2 linked regions of the Oreochromis niloticus genome follow. The protein of the gene in region 2 interacts with the protein of the main gene of each other region in a biochemical or structural test. Links are inferred from orthologs where the notes say so. Each region holds a gene or a part of one and is shown on either strand. Other genes may lie near its edges.

Evidence for each region.
Region 1: the proteins of tfap2a (region 2) and kctd15b form a complex in vitro, tested with the Homo sapiens proteins (2 studies listed by BioGRID, with this or other methods). The link is inferred for Oreochromis niloticus from reciprocal best matches to the Homo sapiens genes TFAP2A and KCTD15.

Annotation. Positions count from the first base shown.
Region 1 is NC_031965.2:31,956,220-31,967,741, reverse strand, and holds the start of kctd15b (BTB/POZ domain-containing protein kctd15), read left to right. Parts: upstream 1-6,001; 5' UTR 6,002-6,317; coding exon 6,318-6,329; intron 6,330-8,689; coding exon 8,690-8,865; intron 8,866-11,522. UniProt on the Homo sapiens protein: During embryonic development, it is involved in neural crest formation. Inhibits AP2 transcriptional activity by interaction with its activation domain.
Region 2 is NC_031974.2:23,415,913-23,427,873, reverse strand, and holds the start of tfap2a (transcription factor AP-2-alpha), read right to left. Parts: upstream 4,723-11,961; 5' UTR 4,293-4,722; coding exon 4,179-4,292; intron 4,171-4,178; exon of another isoform or gene 3,303-4,170; coding exon of another isoform or gene 3,276-3,302; intron 2,748-3,275; coding exon 2,328-2,747; intron 1,124-2,327; coding exon 1,072-1,123; intron 1-1,071. Other genes in the region: tmem14ca (transmembrane protein 14C), read left to right, coding at 10,806-10,895, 11,005-11,089, 11,219-11,320, 11,627-11,714.

The sequences.
Region 1 (11,522 bases), on a different chromosome or scaffold from region 2:
AAAGTTACATTATCACCTCTTCTCCTCTGACAAAACAGAGAAAATGTCTAATTTCTTGGCATTTTGGCAAAGTTTCATAAACATTCTCATGTTCTAATTTCATCCTGTACTCACGAATGCCTCTATTACCTGATGACCTCCTTCACAGGTACTTTTTCATCAGTTTGTAAATATTTAGAGCTTTAGACCACATGATGGCAGCAGATTTTGAGATTTTAGACAATTCTTAAAATGTGGAAAATACATTTTCTGCTTCATTAAAATGTCAGATTTCTTTTTTAATTTATCTGATCTATAACACGCCAGAATGAGAGGAGGATATTTTCTTTGCACAAAGAAAAAAAAATAAAAATAAAAATACAGGTAATATAATATATGAAATTATCACAATACTGTATTTTTATAATCGATTTATTGGTCTATATGGGAAATTGCCTTTTTTCTGAAATATTTTTATTTTAAAAGTATCCAGTTGCTAAAGATGTCAAAAAAGGGGGTAGAATATGTAAGATTTTCCATTTTTTAGTGAAGTAATATTAAGTACCATGATGGCATCAAAGAACACTGCCTTTTTCAAGGTTCAGAGTCTAGCATGTTTGGGGTATTCTGCAGGCTTCCAATTGGCTAATATTTAGTAAATGTCTCAACCAATCACATTAAGATTCTGAATAAACAAAGACTGAACTTGACAGCATCAGAGTCATTGCAGTTTTACCTGTAAAAGTGGAACTGTCTCATAACAGCAACTCTCAGAAGTACACAGAGTGTACACACTCTCCTTGTGCTCAGCTTTTTCTGAAACTTAATTGCTGGCATTAAGCACTTGAGGGAATTCTGAGCTGTGCTTGTTAGGTGTTTGTGAGCAACACAACTCCATACGTTCTATTAATAAACTGACACCTTTTTACCTTCTCTCCCTCCCTCTCTCTCTCTCTCCCTCTCTCTCTCTCTCTCTCTCTCTCTCTCTCTCTCTCTCTCTCTCGCTGAAATAATGAACAATAAGTGTCGCTGCTGCACCTCAGACACACACCAACATCAAGCAGAATGTCAAATGGCTGTAAGAACGGAGCGATTGACAGCAACCGGGCTCCACAAGGCATGCAGATTACTAAAAGCAAGTTCTGAGCGTTCTTTTCAAACTTTCTCCACACGCCAGAGGGGCAAGTAGAAGTGGAATGCTTGAAAGAGATTCTTGCAAATGCTCACATTTAGAAGGGCGGATGTGACTGTATTGTGCCTACTGTTTTCACCTTTGTGCACATGTAGTACAGTTGTGTGGGTGACCTGGGTTATGTGGATCAAAAAAAGGACATGTTGGCCAAATGCCCTAAAGGCTTTAATTGAAAAGTAAGAATAAAAAAAGAGAGAATAAATATTAAAAAATAAACCAAATGGAAAGACTATAATATAAAAGCCTATTTTAAACATTTAATGAAATAATAAGTAGTACAGCATATGGCTTCAAAATGACTGGTAAATGTGTGTTTTATCATTACCCATCACCCTTGTTCATTAATACCAACTTTACTGATTAATTATTATTGATGATTACTGACTGTCAGATTCCACCATATATAGAAACAATATTACACCTGGTCCAAAAATTATAATGTACATTTTTATGCAGACGGCACTGTGTTATGCCACTGGCTCTTCCCTTGAAGCGCATGCGATCATCGAAATGTATCAGTGAACAGTTCATTAGCCCTTTTGAAACACCAATCAAGAAAATGATATTTATATTTCTTATGGTGATATTGTTTATATTGATGTTTCTTCATCCACCTTGAAGCATCTTGATTCTTGCATCACAGTGCATTGTAATTTACCAATGATAAATTGATGTAGGCCTTTCTTACTCTTCTATGAAGAAGTAGGATGGTCAACCTTAGGAAACAGAAAAAAGTGGCAGTGTGTGGTGTTTATTTACAAAGCTCTACTGTGGAATTGCTCGGTTACATGCAATTTCAGGTCACAGAATGTGCTAACATTACCTGTTATTCACAGTGAACCTGGAAAAACTATTTTTCATTACGTCTGTGATGGTTCTCAGTCATCCAGGTCATCGTAGTCTAAGGAGCTTGGAAAGAAAAGCCTCTGGACTTCTGTAAGTTTCCTTGAAGATGTTTCACCTCTCATCCGAGGAGCTTCTGTAGAAACTTCTTGGATGAGAGGTGAAACGTCTTCAAGGAATTTTTTCATTACTTTGCTACCTACAAATGGATTGAGCTACAGAAGACTATGAAGCTTCATTCTCTGGCTTTATTTGAACATTTTTCAAAGGTAAAATTTATGTTTATGCAAAAACTAGAGGTGGCTGGATAGACCCAGATATTGAAAGTATTAATACCAACACTGGCATTGGTATTGAATTGATACTGACAAGTTAGGATAGATACTTTATTTGTTTATTGCCCGCTGAATTCTGTTTATTTATTTGTTTTTACCTCAAACATGCACTATGAAAAATGTCTGAACTTTAAATCAAAGTTATATGTCAAATAGGAGCTATAAATCAAATAGATGTGTTCCAGTCACATCTGTTTGATTTGTAGCTTATAGCACATTTGAACAACAGAAGATGATCCAAAGTGATTTAGTGACGGGCACATTTACATTCCAGGTATCCAAAAAACCCAGCTTTAAAATCCATAAAAGGTGAAAGTTGTGTTCTGTGTTAAATAAGTATTGGGGAAAGTAAAAAATCAATTTGAATTAGTGGTCATTCAAGCGTGTTCTGAATTTGCAAATTGATGATTCATCTTATGAATCATGACACGTGGCTCTCCCCTTGATAAGCTGCCTTTATAGCTTAAAAGTATCAGAATCGGCAATACTGACCCTGTATTTGCTTGATTTTAGATCAATACCAAAATTTGCAAATCCCACAGTAAGATCCCTTGTACATGCTTTTTTTAATCCTCTGAGATCCTCTGACCCCAATGCTAGTATCAAATCCAACCCTATGTTTTTGGGGGGGAGGCTGGATTAAAAGAAAAAAGTTGATGTCATAATTGAATATGTTTTTTATACACAGGTTTCTGTTGAAAACGATGTCTTGATCTCAATGAGACAGCATGTTTAAATAAAGGATTTAATAATAGTTAAGCTCATCAGTATGCAGCAGAGTATTCATTGAAAAGGGTTTTTTGTTCACAGTGTTACACCTAACCAGCAGATGGTGCCATGTTCCATCTTTCATTTGAGTAATAAGTATATCCTCCAGATTAAAAAAAAAAAATACCAGCATGCGCTCATTCATTGGTGTCAGATATCTGACCTGCTTGCAGCAAAAAATAAATGTTAAAAAAAAAAGGTAAGCATGTGTCTGTACCACAAAAAAGAAGGTGGAATAAATTGTTTTTAATAAAAAAAATAGTACAATTTATCCCTCAGAGGCATAAAGCATACAATACACTGTTGATGCTGTGATTAATATATAGTAGAAAAAGCTTTAAAAATCATATATAATCCTCTTGTGATAAAGCTGGAGAAAGGCACAGCATTGTCCTCTGTGCCACTTTAGGCAACATAACTAATAGCACCTTGCATTTGAACCTAGAGGCAAAGTTATTCTTCTCGGGGTCATGCATTAATTCATATACTTCATTAACATATGTCTGAAGGAGACTTTGAAATTTTGACTGATGTATGCAGTTGAACGCTTCACGTTGCAGCATAAACATCTTGACTCAGATTTGAGCAAAAATCTATGTTCATTTTGTAGTTTTACATAAGTAAACATTTAAAATAATGGAGAAATTATGTGGAATAATCCTTTAAAGAAAACTAGAACAGAGCTGTTATCTCTCTCTGTGCCTGCATCAGGGAGACCAAACATCTATAATCCCGTTACCTGGGTCAAATAGTACAATCAGATCTACATTTTTTAACCCTGGAAACGAAGAAAAAAAAATTAATCGTAGGGACAGTTTTTTGGACGGTTAGCAAAATAGAAATGGAAACCTGTCTGTCTTCTCACTTGCTGAGGTGCTGGTCAGGAGGACAGATGTTTAGATTTGGGAAATCTCAAAGCTGCATGCAAATCCTCAAGATGACCTACTTCTTCCCTTCCACATAGACACCGATAAAATCCATAAATTAAGGAAATTAACTGATGGGGCCCGGGGCCACTTTGTAAGCTATTTAAATCTTTAAATTTACAACATCCCTGCATACTTCATGTAATTGAACTAACTCCGGGCTTGTTTCCTTTAATGAGAAAAAAAATCCCGCTTTCCCTCCAGTCTGTACCTCTGGAAGCAACAAATCTGTGCCAGAGGGGAAGAAGGGAGCGCTTGAGGCACGCTGAGGTCTCTCTAATTATAAAGACTTCACTTGCTTCAAGGAGAGGCGCATTCTCACACATCCATCAGCTTGCTGTCAAATATCACCAGCACTTTTTAATTTTATATTTAAATATCCGTTATTTTATGCCGATTTTCTATAAATCTGTCTCTGTCTCTCTCTCTCTCGCTTTGTTATACACACACACACACACACACACACACACACACACACATATATATATATATATATATATATATATATATATATATATATATATATATATATATATAAGATAAGAAAATGTTAGAGTATCATAGTGATATTGCTTTGGAAATCTATGTGCTTAAAAAGAATGTTAATACTATTCGGGATAAACGAGGCTCCAAAATAGTGAGTGAATTGATGTATTTCCTGTGGACCAATAATAAGTTCCTACACTGGTTGGCGCCAAATATCAAGAAACGAATATTACACCCCTCTCACGATTCTGGTACAGAGTAATTACTGGGCTCGATGTTGCATCAATTATTCACAGTTATTTACCCGCAAATAAACAAACATGCAAATAAATAAATAATAGTTTCCTTGGCGTGAGCACCTGCTTGACTCCTTCTTCCCCCTTTTACTTTGTGCTGAAGTGGCGCAACACTTTAGCGCTTCATCACTTGCATTGTGTCTTTCTCTGTTGAAAAATAACAATAATCAGGCACAATCTTATTTTCCAAAAGTCTGGAGGCTGCCTCCTTTCATTGTTGAGTAGAGAGGGGGGTGTTCTGGGCAGATATCTCCATCTAAGCCCTGCGCTATAATTGAAATGGCGCATTTGGCTGCAGGCAGGTTGTGAGGGCGCTTTCTGCAGCAGCATGCATGCATGTCCATAGACGTCATTTGATTTTAATGGCCTGCAGGAAATTTGGCGTTACAACTCCAGACATTAAGGCAAGAGAGAGAGGGAGAGGAATAGAGAGCGGGAACACGGGGGAAAAATCACGGCATGAAAGATATTGGTTCAAGGATATCGCTTCATTTTCAACATATTTTTTCCTGCTGAGACTTTATCAACAAGTTATTGCGTCTTTATTATATGTTGCCTGAGTAAAGGACTATGGCAGCCCGCCCGCTTTAAACTTTAAATTTAGCTTGGAGATGGAGATGGAAATGTAATCCTACTAGCTGGACAGCCTGGGGAACTATTACATCAGACGAAATGACAATGATTAAAATCTGCTTTTTGCTGCTCTAAATCTATTGAGCGACAGACAGTTGCCTGTTAGGTTTCCTACCCCCTCGAAATCACAACTTCACACCGTTAAGGGGATCGGTCTACTTTTTGCCGGAAAAAATAAGATAAGTTATTATATCTATGTAGTCATAATTTCGGGAATAGAGGGTATCACGTTTTCTTCCTTGAGAAAATTGCCTGGGTGAGAGAGTGTAGTTGAGCTAATTGTAGCCTAATCCCTGGCCCAGAGGCGCTTGGGCAGCCCGGAGCAAGATTTTTCTTTTTTAGCTCCGCTCTGTTATTTAGAGAAGGATTATTGGCTTTCTTCTTCTCATAACAAACCACAGGGGCAGTTTCATTTAGGCAAAAAGGCAGACAAGAAGCCGAAATACGAAGCAGGATTCCAATAAGAGCGCACATTTTACGCGTATCCAAATAAGAGCAGAGAAGGGGAAGGAGATCATCTCATCTATGTTCAAGGTAAGGACGCTTCCTGTGCGCTTTGGTACAAAGAAGCTTGGTGAGGACAGGTCGAGCCAGCCTTGCAATTGAGCCTTTAAAGCCACAGAGACTCTTTGCAGTCGATCCTGGCCACAACCTAGCGTCTTTTAAAAGCAGTTTTGTGTGGGATACAGAAAAAATACTTGGCTTTTCCGTGCGGCAGTATAGGTATTGGAACTGGACGGCGGTGTAGTTCGGTGACAAACTCGGGGGCATTTGGAGAAAATATTTGAAAATTTTTGGGGGTTACGCGGACAGCAGCTGGGACTGACCGCCGGCACGGATTTCCTCCGGACTCCCTACAATGTTTGAAACGGTAGGGTGACAATTTAATATTACAGAATCCAATGTTTTTTACGCACAGTGTAGGCTTAGGCTGTACAGTTTTCGGGAAGGACAGTTGAACTGTGCTGGAGAGTCCTGCATAGGGCTACTGCTCGACCAAAGTGTATTTTCTGTCTTTTCTGCCAGACTGTACCCTATAGTTAACACGTGTGTGTTTTATCAATCGGGTCGTGTATTACACGTGTCGGGATTATGCTTTTAATTGTACAGCAGCAATAAGACGCCATGTTGAGCATTTGGTAGATTAAAGGCAGAGCACGGGCTTGTGGTGTTCCTGCGGAGGGAGTGTTGTATCGCACCGTTTCTTTTTCAGAGATTTCTGTGTCCTTTTTCGTGGTTGTTTTAAAGATCAGTCGTCAGGTTTATGTCGCTGTCATTAAGTGTGAGCTCGACAGCAGTATGTCTGAGCAGGGGTCAGCGAAGGGAAGCAGCAAGAAAGCAATTCAAAGCAGGAAAGTTGAGTCTCTGTAGCTGCTGTGATTTTGTGAAGGAATTTATGTGTTGTGTGTCTACGTGTGTCACTCACTGTTTGTGTGTATGTGATAGGGAACAAGGGAGTTGGGAACAACAGAAATCAATGAGAATGTGATCGGGATAGTAAGAAGATTTCTATATTTATTTTCCACATTTGTTCTTCATTGTATATCAGTGTAGGGAATTTATTGCTTAAATGGTGGATAAGTAGGAACGAGGAAGATACCCGCGATGGGACAGACCGATGGGTGTCCGTGTGTGTCTTTGTGTATGTGCCCTAAACTTCTTAAGTCTCTATAAGTTTTTTCTCTGTTCCTGGGTTTTGAAATGTAATCCCGTTTTCTTGTAATCGCATTAAACGAATACGATACTGCTGTGAGGAGGTCTATATATAAAAAAGTCTCCTGTCTCATAGTGTGCCCACTGGCATTTCTCTCAGAGCCGCGGGGATGATCTGGACTTTGGCAAAAGGTCTCCCGTCTATCAGTAATGACAGTGCAACAGCCCATATGTGCAACAGAAAACTGATCAGTTCACATAATTTAGTGAAAGCTGGGATTTTATTATATCAGTCTGTTTAAACACACACATGTGTACTATGAAGCTCCTATTATTGTTTTAGATTTTTCCTCAAATGGAAGGTCTGTATTTCAACCAGAGCCTGTAGGCACGGACTAGTGGTGATAAAGTGGAGAAACGGTGACCTTTATTTTGTGATTATTAAAGAAAATGAACTAAGAACAGTATATCTTTGTTTACTTTTCCTTTAAAAAAAAAATAATAAACTCAGCCACTGTGATGTACAATATGCTTCGTAACAGATAATAGTAACACTGAAATGTGGCCATACTGAGGTTTTGTGGTTCACCTGCCGCTGTTGGCAAACAAATTACGCACCAGTAGGTAGGTTGGATATAAACGCCTCCTCCGCTCCTCCTGAAGCAGTGCGGAATCAAATGACGGCGTATCGAATTGAAAATATTTTGTCAAACATTTCATCAGATAATCTAATTCAGCTCTGCACTGATCTCGGAGTGCTCCGGCGTGCTCCCAGTAAGCCCCAGTCCCAAATATGTGCACCCACAGTCTGTATACAGTAGGCTCTAGTGCCATGTACTTTACTTGTAAGATTATTTTAATGGTTAATCAACGACACTGAGCTACACCAAGTACGGAATAAGATACACAATAGTTTGGCCTGCAAGTAACATGATACTTCTCCTGGTTTCGACTGAAATCTGGTGCGTTTTTGTGCAGTACATGAGGCCCGTGTGCCTCAAACTATCTGCGGACACATGACACTCTTAATCTTTTTGTGTACTGAATGGATGCGTGTGCGTGTTAGAAGAAAAGTTGAAAGCTCCCTCCCCGTCGAGCTTTCCTTACTCTTAGATTGGTGGTTGGTGTGTCTGGGCGCATCACGTCTAACACATAAGGCGACCTTTAATTAGAATATTGCAGCAGCAGTTTATTTTATTCCCCTGGAGGCTGACACCTAGCATTCCTCTCTCTCCCCCCTCACCCTGTCTCCCTCTCCCCCTCTCTTTTTCTATCTGTCTATCTCCTTCTGTCTCTCTCTCTCTCTCTCTCTCTCTCTCTCTCTCTCTCTCTCTCACCCCGATTCTAATAAGCATCCTCCTATCCTCGCCTGCGGTGCTGCATGAAAAGATGCAAACATACTTAATTAGAGCGGTGGCAATAATTTCCAGGCTAAATATGCGACCAGACAGACATGGAAGTGATCTGATACCATTCAGAAAGGATACTATCTACTTCCCTGTTTAGGAGCACTCTGCTGATTTTTTTTATTTCTTCTTTACCTTTATTCCCATGGCTTTTCTCTATACTTGCTTTCAGGAGGGAAGAAGCATGTCAAGGCTGTCTCTGACCCGGTCCCCGGTCTCTCCTCTGGCCGCTCAGGGGATCCCTCTGCCGGCTCAGCTGACCAAGGCGAACGCCCCGGTGCACATTGATGTCGGGGGACACATGTACACTAGCAGCCTGGCAACTCTCACCAAGTACCCAGATTCAAGGTAAGATCAGTCCCTGCCTCTAGCATCACTGCTGATCTTAATGTATTAATTCATAGCTTATCTATTTTTTATTTTTTTAAATCAACTTTAAGAAATATGAGCAAACTAAAGAGTAGTTTAATCTGTCTCTTGCTGCTTTTGTTTAAAATGTGACACAGTTATGCATTTATTCCAGTTTAACTAAATAATGGAAAATGTTTCCTAAATAAATATTCAGTTAGATTTCAGTCACTTTTTATCTTAGTAGCTTTATGTTGCATTTTTCACAGTGAATCGTTTAAAAAATAGATTTGACTGGCGGTTTTGTTAATGAAGTCTAACAGAATCTGAAATGTTAGCAAGTCACATAGCTGACTGGCATTGGGACACCACCAGTTAAACTTTGGGGACAATTTCCCCATATATCTTTTCAAATCATGTGGGGGCATTTCTCTGCTCTTCATTCTTTCAACTTCTTACATTAAAAATGATACATGTGATTGCTTTTTTGTTTGTTTGTTTTAAAGGTGATTATTTCAATCTTCCAATAAATACCTCCGAGGGTTTTATTTTTTATCTCCTTTCACATGGTAGCTGTTATTGAAAATTCAGCTGCTGTGCAGAACCTTACACATGTTTTACTGCTGATGTGAGTAGTAGTGTTTGTGTGAATTCACACCACGCAGAACATTTTCACACTACGCCCCCTTTTCAAAGTCTTTATTTATTTATTTTATTTTATTTTATTTTTCCCGCAGATCAGGGTGCTGTTTGGAATACTAGAAAAAAAATAATGACGTAAGCATCCAGAACCCCCTTAATCAAAGTTGATGTAAAACAGCTTCAAATGTGATTAAAATCATGGCATGTTACAAGTTGTAGGTTTTTTTTGCAACCACCATTTATCATGTGTTGCAGCTTGACCTTATCAATACATTTTAATAAAAAGTTGCATGACTTATCCTTTTATCTTGTGAGCTATTGTTTTCATTATATTTTTTGACGAGTTTAAGCTGCAGCTTGAGCCTAAGAGATGAATGATACCGAAGACAAACTTTGAATTGTTCACCGCAGCAACGACTTTCTGTATATCAGGTACATGTGCATGTGCAAAAAAAGCTCCTCCTGCTCTTTCAGACATCTGATTGTTATAGTTACACATGAAGCATTTGCACTTGTAAGAAAAAAAGCATGATGATTCAGGCTGTGTAAGAGCTGATGGTAATCCACCATCCCACATTTTTATACACATTTTTAGCTCCATCCACAAACAAGGTGCCACTACTAAAGGAAGCAAATTCAAATAATGATAAAATGACTCCGTTTTATGCTGATTTGAATTACCCCTTCCGTATTTTCCTCTAATGCAGTGTGTCATTTATTGCATTATGCTCCCTGCATTTCGGCATCAGCTGAATCCCATGTGGGCCAAGGTAAACATACACCAGGTTGTTAGAAAACCTGCCAAATTGGCTACAGGAAATAATCCGCATAATCCCCTGGTAATAAAGTCTTGATATTCATAGAGTCCGCTGACAGGAAATCCCTGACAACTCTCTTTTTATTCCAGTGCAACATGTCATGAGAAAGATAAAGCTTAAACCAGAAAAGGGTTTATCGTTGTTTGTGTTATTAAGACAATTTTTTTTGTCCACTATTTCAGTGTCATAGTCAGTTTATCCAGTGGACAGATGGTTTTTACATTTCTGTGTCATTTGTATTCGCAATTGTGCATTGCTATTGTGTTCCCGTATTTATTATGCTCTGATGCAGCTTTACACTTTACAAAGAAGTTATTCACTCTGAGATGCACAGGGTCTTTACTCCAAATGCAGCACAGAGTCATGTCAGAGCATCCAAGCAGTGTTTTTACAGTAAAGACCGGATATCAGTGTGAGTGTTGGTTTGGTTGGAGTGCTCTTTCCTCTTTCTTTCTCCTTCTCTTTTTCACACATGCTCCTTTGCTCCTTCCCTCTCTCTCCCTCCCTCTGTCTTGTGCTGTTTCTTTCTCACTCTGGATCACACACAAACACACGCGCACACACGCACATATTCACATGCATACACTCACTGTTTCTCTCTTTCTCCCAGCCTCCTCAGCGTACAGTTGGCCTCAGGGCTCCACTTTCCACTGGAGCCAGTGGAAGGAGGGGCCCTTTTGTGTGAATTAGGATAATGGCTGACAGCAGAAAGCAAAACAATTACACTGGCATAACCGCATATGCTGTGTTCAGCTACGTCCGGTCAAGAAAGGCGCACGGGCAAAACTGAAAACGTGACGACTGAAAGAGCAGGGCTAAAGAGTTTGAAGTTGCTGATTACTTTTAATAGATTGGGTTCTAAATAATGCAGGGTGCCAAGAGAAAGTTAGTCTAGTAACTAATGTGTGGATATTCATCTTCTTCTGTGTGGGCCATATTAAGGGACAAGGGTCATGAAACATTGATGTGCACTCTGTGTAGCTCTCAAAGAGGACAGTCTCAGCAGTCACTTGAACAGAAGCTGAGGAAATTAGGGGAAATGTTCCACAGACAAGGAAACTATTTTGAAAGGACCACTGGACATTTTTCTCTATGAAGACGAGACTTCTATGTCCAGAGATGATAGATCTGTACTGGCTTTATGCTTTTTCAGTGGTCCTCTGTTTCTGGAAATGTACTTTTCTATAAGCTGAGCTC
Region 2 (11,961 bases):
GGTAGTGGGTTAAGGATGTGTGTGTGTGTGTGTGTGTATGTGGAGGGGGGGCTCAGCAGTGCTGGGCTTTACACCGTTTTGGTGTGCAGTAACCGGAGACAAAGGGGACTGTGCGCCTTTGGATAGATCACTTGTGACATTAATGGCTCAAGGGAGCCTAATAGAGACAATAGGAGTTAAACGAACTCTTGAGATTACTAATATAAGAAGCCAATTATCATGTTGATGTGCAGATAGACAGACTAAAAAAGAAAGAATGTTTAAAAAGATAAAAAAGAAAGAAAGAAGTAAAAACCGAAAAAAGGAAGGGAAGAAATGGGGAAGCAAAATCACTCCGTATCTTATCCAGCGAGTTCTAATTTGACCTGACAAAACGTTTTTAAAACATGGCCACGAAAAGAATGGGACTTCCTCGTGTTGTATCAAGTAATACAATTCACTGAATTTTAACAGCAAATAAACACGACGGACTGAAGCAGCAGCAACAGCACAATCCAACAACCTTCACCAAAGTAGCCTAAATATATATTTAAACAATTACATTTCACGATATTAAAAATCCAGCCAAGTGATTTTTTTCCCCAAGCCTAGTTTTTGATTCCCCTCACTGAATGACAGACTATCATCCTACACACAGCAGGCCTGTGCTCCATCCAGCGGTACCAACTCCCATTTTAGATTTGACCACGCTACGTGATTGCAGCTATTGGCTTCCTGAAGTGCCAGGATCGTCTATGAGGCCTGTATCTTTGACCATCAATAGCACGCGGGCCTACAAAGCCCACCAGCTCTACTCATCTCCCCGCTGCGCTGAAACGCTGACAGTAAATTCCATCAGCGAGGGGGGAAAAAAAGGTGCAGCCAGTTTGACGCACTTGGAAACCATGTAATGAAAAATAGGCTACTGCGTATTAGGATCAGTCAGGCATTACCGCATTGCATCGAGCTCTCTCGAGCAGAATAGTGAATGGCGTTTGTGCGTGTGCGTGTATGCGAGTGTGTGTGTGTTGCTTAGTGGTGTGCAGCTTGAAGAAACATGCATGGTACTGTATCTCGGAGGAAATTGCTTACCTTTTTTAATTACAGTCTGGTCGGGGATGTGAATTCCTTGATCCTCAACAGGCTATGACACAAATGCAAAAAAAAAGGTATACGTTTAAGTACAAAGGCAGGAAAGAGAAGGAAAAATCTAATAATGTCAACCTCGGTCCTGCGTACGTAAACGCACCTCAGGATGCGGTGCAGGAACAAAGCCTGACACAATTAGCAGCCACAATCACCCAACATGGAGGCTCCCGAGGCCCCATACCTGTTATTATTGTCCATGTGTGTTTTCGACCGGTTACACTGATTAGATGACAAACGCAGACTTAAATAACGAAGCTGTGTCGCCCCATAATCCTGACCTAATTTCGCCCTCAGATTGGCTGTACTCACAAGGAAACTTCTAATCTAGATTGGATAGTAATTATGGCGGCGCTGCCTATTAAAGGCCTATGAACTAATTAGCGAATTATTGGTGTTTGTTTCTGATTTTTTTGTAATGTTCTCAATATGAATGGAGTTTATTGACAATTTTAAAAGCTCGTCCATCACAGATCTTCAATAAAACGTCTGCCTGAGCTCCGTGCAGCAAAGTAAAATTCTCTCGTTATCGGGAAGCAGTATACTCTCGTGTTATTGTTCTCAAATAAGCGTCGGCTTCATTTATTTTATTTTTTTAAAACAGCGAAATTAAATTAAAATCAAACGACAAAAAAAAAATTACTCGTGAAAATAGAGATATCAGTTATTTTCATCTATTTCATGCCTTTTTAGTTTCAGATGTCGAACAAAAGCCATGTGTCAACGAACAGCATTATAAATGTTTTCTTTTAAATATATTTCATGACAGAAATAAATTGCAAATCAGTGCTGCTTTGTCTTAAACCGCATTGAAGATACTGGGAAAAAAAAATCCATGCATTTATTATTTAGTATATTTGCTATTTTAAGAGCTACAATGAGCTCCCCGAACCTAATTTACTGCGTGTCAGTCGTGTTTTGTATCAGCTAATATTAATAAGATAAACATGATACAGTTACAGCACTTCTATGACTAGTACCTGATTTCTTAAAGGCGGGGTGACAGAACAATTTTCATTATTTATTTAAATAAAACACACACACACAAACTCTCACTGATAATAGCGGGTTGGCACCCGTGGTGCTCGAACTCTTAATGACAGCATTATTCCTTTTCTTTCTTTCATTTTTTTTCTTTCTATTTTCATTTCTTAAAGGGAGTAATTCCACAGAAAGAGAAAGCCAGGTAAACGCTGCCTCACCTGCACGTCTTCTAAAGATTGGTGTATTCCATGGATAGGGATAGAGTCCGACAGTCCCGTTTCGATGCCGTGGCCGGATGGCAGGAGCACTTCCCTGCGATACTCCCGGCACAACTGGTGGGGCAGGCCGCGGTGCTGATGCAGCAGGCCGCTCTCCTGACCCTGCCTCTGGCCCGGCCAGCCCGGGTGCTGTGGCTGCGGTTGGGCGTGCAGGGAGTTGAGGGAGTATGGGTCGTTGACGTGCGAGTAAGGGTCCTGAGACTGCGGGTAGATGGGCTGGTAGGGTGGAGGAAAGTACGGGGGCTGGAAGTCCGAGTTCGGTGTGTGGGAGAGCGGAGGGGCGCTCGTGTAGGGACTCTGGCCCACGCTGCCCAGCTGAGGTAGCCTGGCTGTCCCATTGCTGGTGCCGTCGTGACGATCCTGACAGGTAAGGAAAGAAGGAAAAGTGCGTTTTAGCCTGAATACGTTCAAAATAAAAATCAAAATAAAGGACACGGTCATAAATTAGCGAAACGTCCGTCTATATTTTTACATGTGAATGCTCTGCGGGCATTATCAAATATGCCCCTGAGTGGATGACACGAATTAGCTCAAGTGTGGAATCTGTGTTGAATTATTCCAGTTAATTGGGGAAAGGGATTTTTTTTAAACAACAAAAAAACAATAACACCTACAACACATCCGCAAAGTTTTGGGAATCCAAAATAACCTGACAGTACATGAGCAAAATAAATAATTTAAAAAAAATCCAGAGAATGAAACGGCATTAAATAGGAAAGTCCTGACATTTTTTTTTTTATTTTTATTTGCAGGATGCTCAGCTGATTTTTTAAGCATGCACGCTTTGCAAAAAACTTGAAGTAAAAAAAAAAAAGAAAAGAAAAAAATCTGGTAGGCAAAGAAGCAAAGAAAGAAAGTATCTGATAGTGGGAGACTCCAGCAACTTACCATCGCGGAAAAACTGTGCACTAACATCTGTAAGGATTTTTGGTGGGGACTCAATAATAATAAAAAATTATTAATATAATAATCAGTTCACAAAAACACGGAGTCTTTAGGGGGGGGGGGCGGGGGCGGGGGAGAAGAGCAAAAGGAATAAACCAGCAAAACCCAAAAAGGAAAAAAGAAAAAAAAAGAACAAGGCCCCCGAAAAGACTCTTCTCTCCTGCAAAGATCACGATGGCCCCGGCGATCAGATATGTGCCTCGGTAGCAGGACGATAATCCATCAGAAATAAATGGTTAGATCCCAGCTGCCCTTCATTTGCTTCTAACAATGCAGATATTCGGCGGTGCTGGCCGATCGAGGTTGAAAAGTTTCTCTTGGTAAACCCTCTTTTCCCCCCTGTTCTCCGGGCTTCTATCACAGTGCTACCGTCCCTTCGCTCGAGCTCATATTAGCCCAAAAAAAAGAGCCGCTTCTTCGTCTCCCTCTCGGACTCCTACCAGAACGCATTCATTACAATTAATATCACAGGAATACTTAATAACAAGGAAAGAATAGACGGAAATCTGGCGTGAAGCGGAGGACGCAACTCAAGGCAGGAGTCTGCGCTTAAATGACGTCCATTGAAAGGAGGAATCAGTATATCTAATCAGAGATGGGGAGAGAGAGAGAGAGAGAGAGGGGGAGTGAGAGAGAAAGAGGGAGTGAGAGAGTGTGCGGAGAGAGGCACACACAAAAAGAGGGACATTCACCTCGTCTGACGAATCAGAGAGAGAGGGAGGAGGAGGAGGGGGGCATTTTAAAAGAGTCCCAGGCCAAAGCGCAAAAGTGAAAGAAAGACAGGAATGGGAAGGGAGGTGGACCACAGGCAGGAATGAAGAAGCCAGCGAAGGAAACAATGTGCACCTCTGAACTGGGTGAAAATCCAGCAGACGACGCTATGGGCATTCCAGCCGGCTCATTTCTACCGTTTGTCCCTTTGTTTTCCACCTCAGACTCCGACAGCGAGCTGTCCTCCATGGTTCTCTCTCACTCTCTCTCTCTCTCTGCCTCTCCTGTCTCCGCCGAATTAATCCACCGATCCGTCCTCGACTCCAAAAAACCCAGAGTCACGCCGGCTTTAACTTTAACGTTGACCCGGAAAGATGGAACAAAATAAAATTCCCACAGTGTGAGACAGGGCCGCTGGATCCTGCGCTCTGTAACTTTTGCGCGCGGCTTGAAATAGCTCCACTCCCCTTCCTGCCTAATCATGCACTTTAAAATTACGAAACATCACTTACTGGGGCCTCGGCTGGATCGCGACTGCAAATGTTATTTATCTGTTTATGTATTTCTTTTTTTGCCTCGATACCAGCGGATGAAACAAACCGTTTGCCTGTAAATTAAAAGAATCCATTTAACACGACCGCGGAGGTGCCACTTTCTTTCTTTCTGTTTTTTTTTTTTTTGCTTTCTTGCTCCCGTCCTTCTCTATTCTCACAGGACGCGGGCGAAAACACGTCCGACTGGCTTCTCCACTCCTTAAACAAGCCACCGGTATTACTGCCAAACTTCGTCTGTGTCCACAACAACAACAACAATCACTCAGTGTATGCACTTCACACATACACGCACACGCAGAATTTAACAGCTTCTGCAGTGATAGAAAAACCTGAAGAGTCCAAGAGCTTGTAACTGAAGCGCAAAATGAACCAGGCAGTGCCAGCACTCACACTGCTTTAAAATATTATTTTTTAATTTAATGCATGGTAAGTGTATATTATTGCTTTAATGTTTTCACGTGCAATAGAATTTTTAGTCATATTTATTTTATTTTTAATGTAAGTTTTAAAGTGGAAAATGCTGTGATTTTTATGCAGCCAGGCGATATTAAAAACAGCTTCCTATTATCATTATTATTATTATTATTATTATTATTATTATTATTATTATTATTATTGTTATTATTATTACATTAATTAACAAAAGCCATAATATGCAGTCTATTCATCTTGCAGTTAAATATGTTCTCTAACAGCTGTCAAAAGAATCTCATAGCTGGATCAAAACAATTTTAAAAAGCAGCCATGAAATAATTATTGAATGTTTAAAAATAATAATAATATAACAACAACAAATTTAGTAAATTAAAAACGAGCCTCTTACCTCGCAGTCTTCATATTTAATGTTATCAGTTAATTTCCAGAGCATTTTCATGGGTTGTTGAGGTGGATATTGAGTATAGGTATCGCCTTAGTCTTGTTTTCACTCAGTGAATTGTGCTCCCCGCTCAGAAAAACTACTTTTATTGAAGCTGTGGGTTGGTTGTCTGTCTTGCGCTCTGAGGTCTCCCTCTAATGGTGGAAGTGAAGGGCTGGATCAGCTCTGTAATAACACTGGCACCGGGCCTCATTAGCATATCAACAGCCGTTTGATTCCCCCCATCTGCTCACACAACACCAATGGACAGCATTACAGGTAAAGACTAAAAAAGCAACAAGACGCTACACACGGTTATTATTTCTACTGTTCAATGAGGTGTGTGTGTGTGTGTGTTTTTTTTATTGAGAGGAAGGGAGGGTACGGTCATGCATGGGGACCTGCTCGCACCTGGGACACTTTCTACAATCATTTTGATTTCATATTTGGGAGGATGGAAAAGTGCACATCCTAAAGAATCCCCCAGAAATTGTATATTTTTAACAAATTGTCAAATATATTTTTCTGTGACTTTTTTTTTGTCTAAACTGAACTTACTTCTATCCACCTCTTGATGACTTTAAATTTGATGTAAAGACAGCATGACTATGCTACCACCCCGTCACACACACCGTGGGGCCAACCTTGATTTTTTTTTTTCTACAAAAAAAAAAATAAAAAAATCCCAAAGTGTTATTTTAATCCTATTGAGAGCGGAGACCTCGAGAGGCTATTCTTTCAGTGTGATGTTAAAAAGGGTGAGTTATTCAAAGCTGCTCTACAGGTCCACTGGCTACCTGTAAGGTTGGCAGGGCTTGTGAGGGAGTCGAGGAGGGAGGGGGGGTTGGTGTCAATAATTAACACAACAACATGGCCTTGTTTCATTTGAATGAGCGGCTGGGGGAGCCTGGCTCTGTCCTGTCGCCGGTCGAGCCTTCACCTCACCAGGTCGTGGGTCAGCAGACAGGTCCACGGCGCTTTAAGGCGTTGTCCCCCTTTTAAAAGCCTGTTTGGTATTTTTGGTGGGACAGAGACAACCCCCCCTCCCTTCTTTTTTTTTTTTTGTAACAAACAGTTGTTATTAATGAACGTGGAGCGGCTGTCAACGACAGCAATGCATCCGTGCGTGCTGCAAAAGAGACCTGGCCTGCTCGCCTGAAACGGGAGTGTTTCTCTTCCACCAAAGATCTCAGGTCGTCTCTTAAATCCCCAACGCATCCACAAGCCGAGGCCATACTTCTGAGTCAAGCCCAGATCATTTTTTAAAAATTAGACTCTACAGAAAGTCCACTGTGAGATGCTCACGCCATGCACAATTGGAACAGCTGCAAAGCACATGAAAAGTTTATCATTGTTATTCTTTGTTTTTGTTTTTTCTGCTTTAAAGCCTAACTACACGGTTCGAGCACGGGCTGTGTTTTGTAATCGCCCCACCTCTAACAAAGCACCTCAAGTCTGTTTCCATACACGTCTAACTTATGATGAAACAAATGTGGATATCACAGTGTGTCTGAAACGCGCACGATGTCCTTGCAACAAACGATCCATACCTTCAGACATTCAGAACTAAAAAACAACAACAACAACAACAACAAAAAAAATATGGTTAATTCCACACTTCAGGCTATACCTCCCCGCAAAAGACTCCAAAATATCTCCTGTGTGATCAAATCCAGGAGCCTCTACAGAACTCTGCCGCCTCTCTTTACTACAGGATTTCATAGCGTCCATGCAGCCTCATCCAACAAGTCGATACTTTGACTGTTTTTATGTATTTTTCCCCCTTTTTGCAGCCGTTTTCTTTCTCTTAAGGTAAACAACACATACCTGCCATTCCATCATTTTGCCCATAATTGACATTCTTTATCCTCTGCTTCCTTTTGTTTGTTTTGGTCCGATCCGACGGCGCGTCTATTTCATTAAGCCTTCGTTCGCAAAAGTAAACCTTTACCTGGGCCGGAATCGCTTCACCTGGCCATAAAAACGGTGCGGAGCCACCTGGCGACGCATGCGCACTGCTACGGGTGTGGACCAGAGAGTGGCGAGCACCTGGGAAGAAAAAAAGAAACAGCTTGTCTGTGTCTGTGTGTTGAATAGGTCTGAGCTGTCATACTTAATTAGTTTTTTAAACAACAGCGTTCACAAGTGACGAGCTGAAAGTATGGATATTATTTAGGCTATTTAACGTGATTGATGCAGACACAACACACCCCAACAAATACATACATCTGTAATAATATTTTTTTTAAGATCAGTTTAAAGGAAAATGTCCATTTCATGTTTTGACAAAAAAAAAGAGGATTTTATATGATTTTTCATCAAATATTAATTTGGTTTATTGTGCGCATAAACAGTGTGATAATCTAAGATGTGCTTTTTAAAATAATAATAATAATAATAGTAATAAAGGTTCCATATGAGAAAATACGGGAAACTGCGTGGGACAAAGCGAATATAAATATATATAATTATAAAGGTTATATTTGTCTTCACCTGGCATAAAACTAAAAAGGACATATCTGTTAACCTTTCCGTTCCTTTTCTTCTCTGATTTGTCTTGCTTAGTAGAAAACATGAATTGTCAGTGCAAATGAAACTGTGTCAAGTTAAAAAACTTGAAGGTTAACTGCCAACATCATTACACAGAAAGCTACCATACTATTGTGAGAGTCATTATTTATTTATCCACTGTTTATTTCTAATACATACTTATGTAGACCCCTCGGGCCAAGAGCGAATGAGCAACCCCCCACAACCCCCCAACCGCCTCCTCCCTCCCTCCCCCTCCCCCTGGTACACACGCACACATGAGAGACGCGCACACACGCACACAGAAAGCAGAGCAACACGTGCGCTGACGTGGGTGACAATGGCCAAATCTTTTGTCCGTAACCCCTTCTCCTCTTTGAAGTAATACGCTTCACACACACACGTAGGCAAACTGGCTGCTATGGACGTAGTCGCGGGGGCACTTCGCTGGCAGATAGCAGCATTGACCTACCTTTCACTATATCACACACATAAAGACAGCGTGTTATATGCGTGAAGTGTAACACTGGTGCTTGTGGACAAACTTTTAACGGGGGGAAGAAAAAATACAATTAATTTTGCTTTAACCCGATTTTTGTTTTTTGGTATTTTTCTAAATTGCAAAATTCCACACGGAGACTATAGATTTTTGTGGCGTTAATATTTTAAACGAGCCTTCATGTTTGACTTCAAAGGCGAACACATTTTAACTGCACACACAATACCTGCAGCTATATAGACCTTACCAGGCCTGGACAAAGGAGAGGAAGGTGGGGAGGGGGAATCAGAAATATTGTTTGGGGCTCTGCGCAAGGGAGGAGTGAAGTTTTAAAGCAGAGCTGTCTGAGAGTAGGTTACTCTTGTTCTGCAGCGGGGTCCCTTTTGAATATCTAGCCGGTCTAGGGCTTAGTTTCAACCAGCAGCACACAGCACCGGGCCTCCGGCAATGTTCCCCAACCGCCAGCTGTGTTTAAAAGGCGATAGCCACGACTGCGCCTCAGGCATCTTGTACATTTTATTATTATCATTATTATTATTATTATTAGTTTTAGTAATAGTAGTAGTAGTAGCAGTAGTCGTATTGCTATAATCATTATTGTTATTATCAAGTGTACCTAAAGACAGACAGATCTTGGTGCGTATTTTACGCGTCCTTCTCTCATTGCTAGAAATGGCAGAAAGACTTCCTCCTTCTTCTTCGTCTTCTTCTTCTTTAAAAAAGGCTGATCAAAGACAGGAGCACTTTTTCGTATCCCCCAAACGTTATGAAGTTATGAAGTTGGTAAATCATTTCGTAGAAATGCTGAGTTTGCAACAAATATTATTTTCCCACGGCCACGCTCTAGCTCCTGCTGGATGTGTCCTACTGGCGAAGATCTCCAAAGCCACACGCACCTTGGTTATATTCATAAAAATTCGTGATTTATTTATCTATTTATATTTTTCAATTGAGACGGTTTCAGGCCCAACGTTAGAAACGCTGCTCTCTGAACAAGATAACTTGTGTTATAGCGCCACCTTGCTTTTGGATAAGAGCGAGGAAGCGCCGCTAGTGGATTGAAGTCAATATCGCAGGTAATTGAAACCAAATGAGAATGTGTGAGCAGGGAGCATTCCAGTAAGTAAATCTGCAGAGCCGATGCCAGTCGGAAACACAGGTGCTTTAAAGGAAAGTCTACATGAAATTGCACGACCCGTCAGGAATACAAACGTTTGCAAATATTACAAATGCATTTCTAACAAGCAATACGCTGGGCGCTTGTGTTCACCTGCCTTTCTTCATTAACCTTAATCAGTCTGTCACGCTTAAACTTGATCGTTTTAGTCACCCATCAGAAGAAGAAAAAGTAATAACGATAATAAAAACATTCCGATGTCGTAAGTGGTGATATTGCAATCTGTATGTTTATCCTTTCCCTTTGAAGACAGCCTTTTTTTCGGATGCATGCAAATCAAAGTACATGCCTATTTGAAAAAAAGCTATTGGTATGAGGGGTGCGGTTTGAACTTGAAACACAACCTAATATAATCCTGTGGCGCCATCTAGCGGCCGTCAATTATCAAAAAACAGCTCCGAGTGGCGTTGGGGTTACTCAATTGAGCGCATTAGTGGTTGACAATGACATCATACGACGACGTTAAGTAAGCAGGACTCGGTTTATTATGGAGAGTACAGGACAATAAATCGTCAGTAGTGATTCCGCAGAGAAAATAGTTTAATACCTTTTAAGTGTCCTCGGTCGTGTTTGTTTGCACCAACATAAACGATAAAAAACACATTAGTATTATTATTATTATTATCGTTATTATCATTATTATTATTATTATTTAGCGCAGCCGTATGTCTTTCACAACATAAAGAGATCTGCTCAGAACTGTAAGCCTACGCATTCGGCATCCGCGAGCGCATTACGTACAGTGCAGCAATAAATTGTGCTCGGTGGAGAACAAGCTGCCGTCGGTAGGGACCACACTGTTTATGTCAGTGACAGACAGAGGACAAACTGAACGACTAAGGTTGTAAGTCGGTTTGTTTTTTTTAATTCAGCTTCCATACTCGACAGTGTCAATGTTTTAGAGTGCTGCTTAAGACTGAATCTACTTTCAAAGTTTACGGGGTGACTGTTAACAGTGGTTTCGATAATGTTGTGTAACTTCTGAGTGTGTGGTGCAGCAGTGATGCTAGTTTATGCTAAGGCTCAGTAAAGCAGTCTGGCTTATCTACTAAGCCAGACACACACACGCCCCTTTTTTCTTTAACGACTTCTGATCAAAAGCTGACAAACTACGGCTGCGGTGTGTGACAGCGGGAACCTTCCTACAATGTTTTCACTTTTTCTGTTCGTTCCGTTAATGCTCAGTAACAGCTCTGTGTTGCAGGACTCGCACAGCTCCTTAAGTATTTTTACACCAGTAGGTCAAATTAGATTCACATCAGGAGGAGGTTTTAATTGAATAATCGATGTGCAACGTCAATAATGTGTTTGTTGACTCGCATAACCTCACGCTGTGATCCTGACAGGTGTCCAACATGACTGTGGATTGGGTAGGATATGGATACGCCACGCTTGTAGCATCTGGAGGAGTCATTGGTTACGTGAAAGCAGGTATGTGTTACCTAAAATACTTAAGTTAAATAATCACATTTCAATAACAGCAAGTATTACTATTGGTGCTGTTGTCTCGCTGGTTTATATTTTCCTAGGTTCTGACCTCCTGTATGTTTGTTCTGTCAGGCAGTGTTCCCTCCCTGGCTGCTGGGCTTCTGTTTGGGGGCCTTGCAGGTTTTGGAGCTTACCAGGTCTCAAATGATCCTAAAAATGTTTGGGTGTCACTAGGTTAGTAAACTTTTTTTTTTTTCTTTCCTCTTTCCTCAGCTTAGGAAAAACATCATGTCAGAAAAAGCTGTAAAGTTTGAACACTGCTGTGCCATTCAAGCCGCAGTCTTGACTGTTAATTGAATAACTCTATTATGCCTTATGACCAAAAAAAAACATACACTCAAAATGTTTAGTATGTGGACCCACATACTAAACTGCATAAAGCAGCTGTATGTTTTCCATGTAAGTAAACAGTTTCTGAATATCTAATGTCTTCATTCTGAGTGCCTTCACTAACCTTTTCCGTCTCCTGCTGTCTGCCAGCTGCATCAGGAGCACTGACTGGTATCATGGGGAAGCGGTTTTATGGATCGAGGAAGTTCATGCCAGCTGGTCTGATGGCTGTAGCAAGGTCTGGTATAAGTCCAATCAGCCATTACTTGTTATCAGTTCCACAGATGAGGGCAGTATTATTCCAAATATCTTAGTTTGATTTTGGAATATTATTTTACTTACTTTGCACACAGTAAAATATTTCTTAGTCCGAAACCAGGGTTCTATCGATTGTCCTCTTCAAGACTATAATTTCAGACTTGTCTGAGTCATTCACTCGTGTCTCAGCAGTTGTTCTGGGGGTCTTTAGATACAGTTTGCTAGTT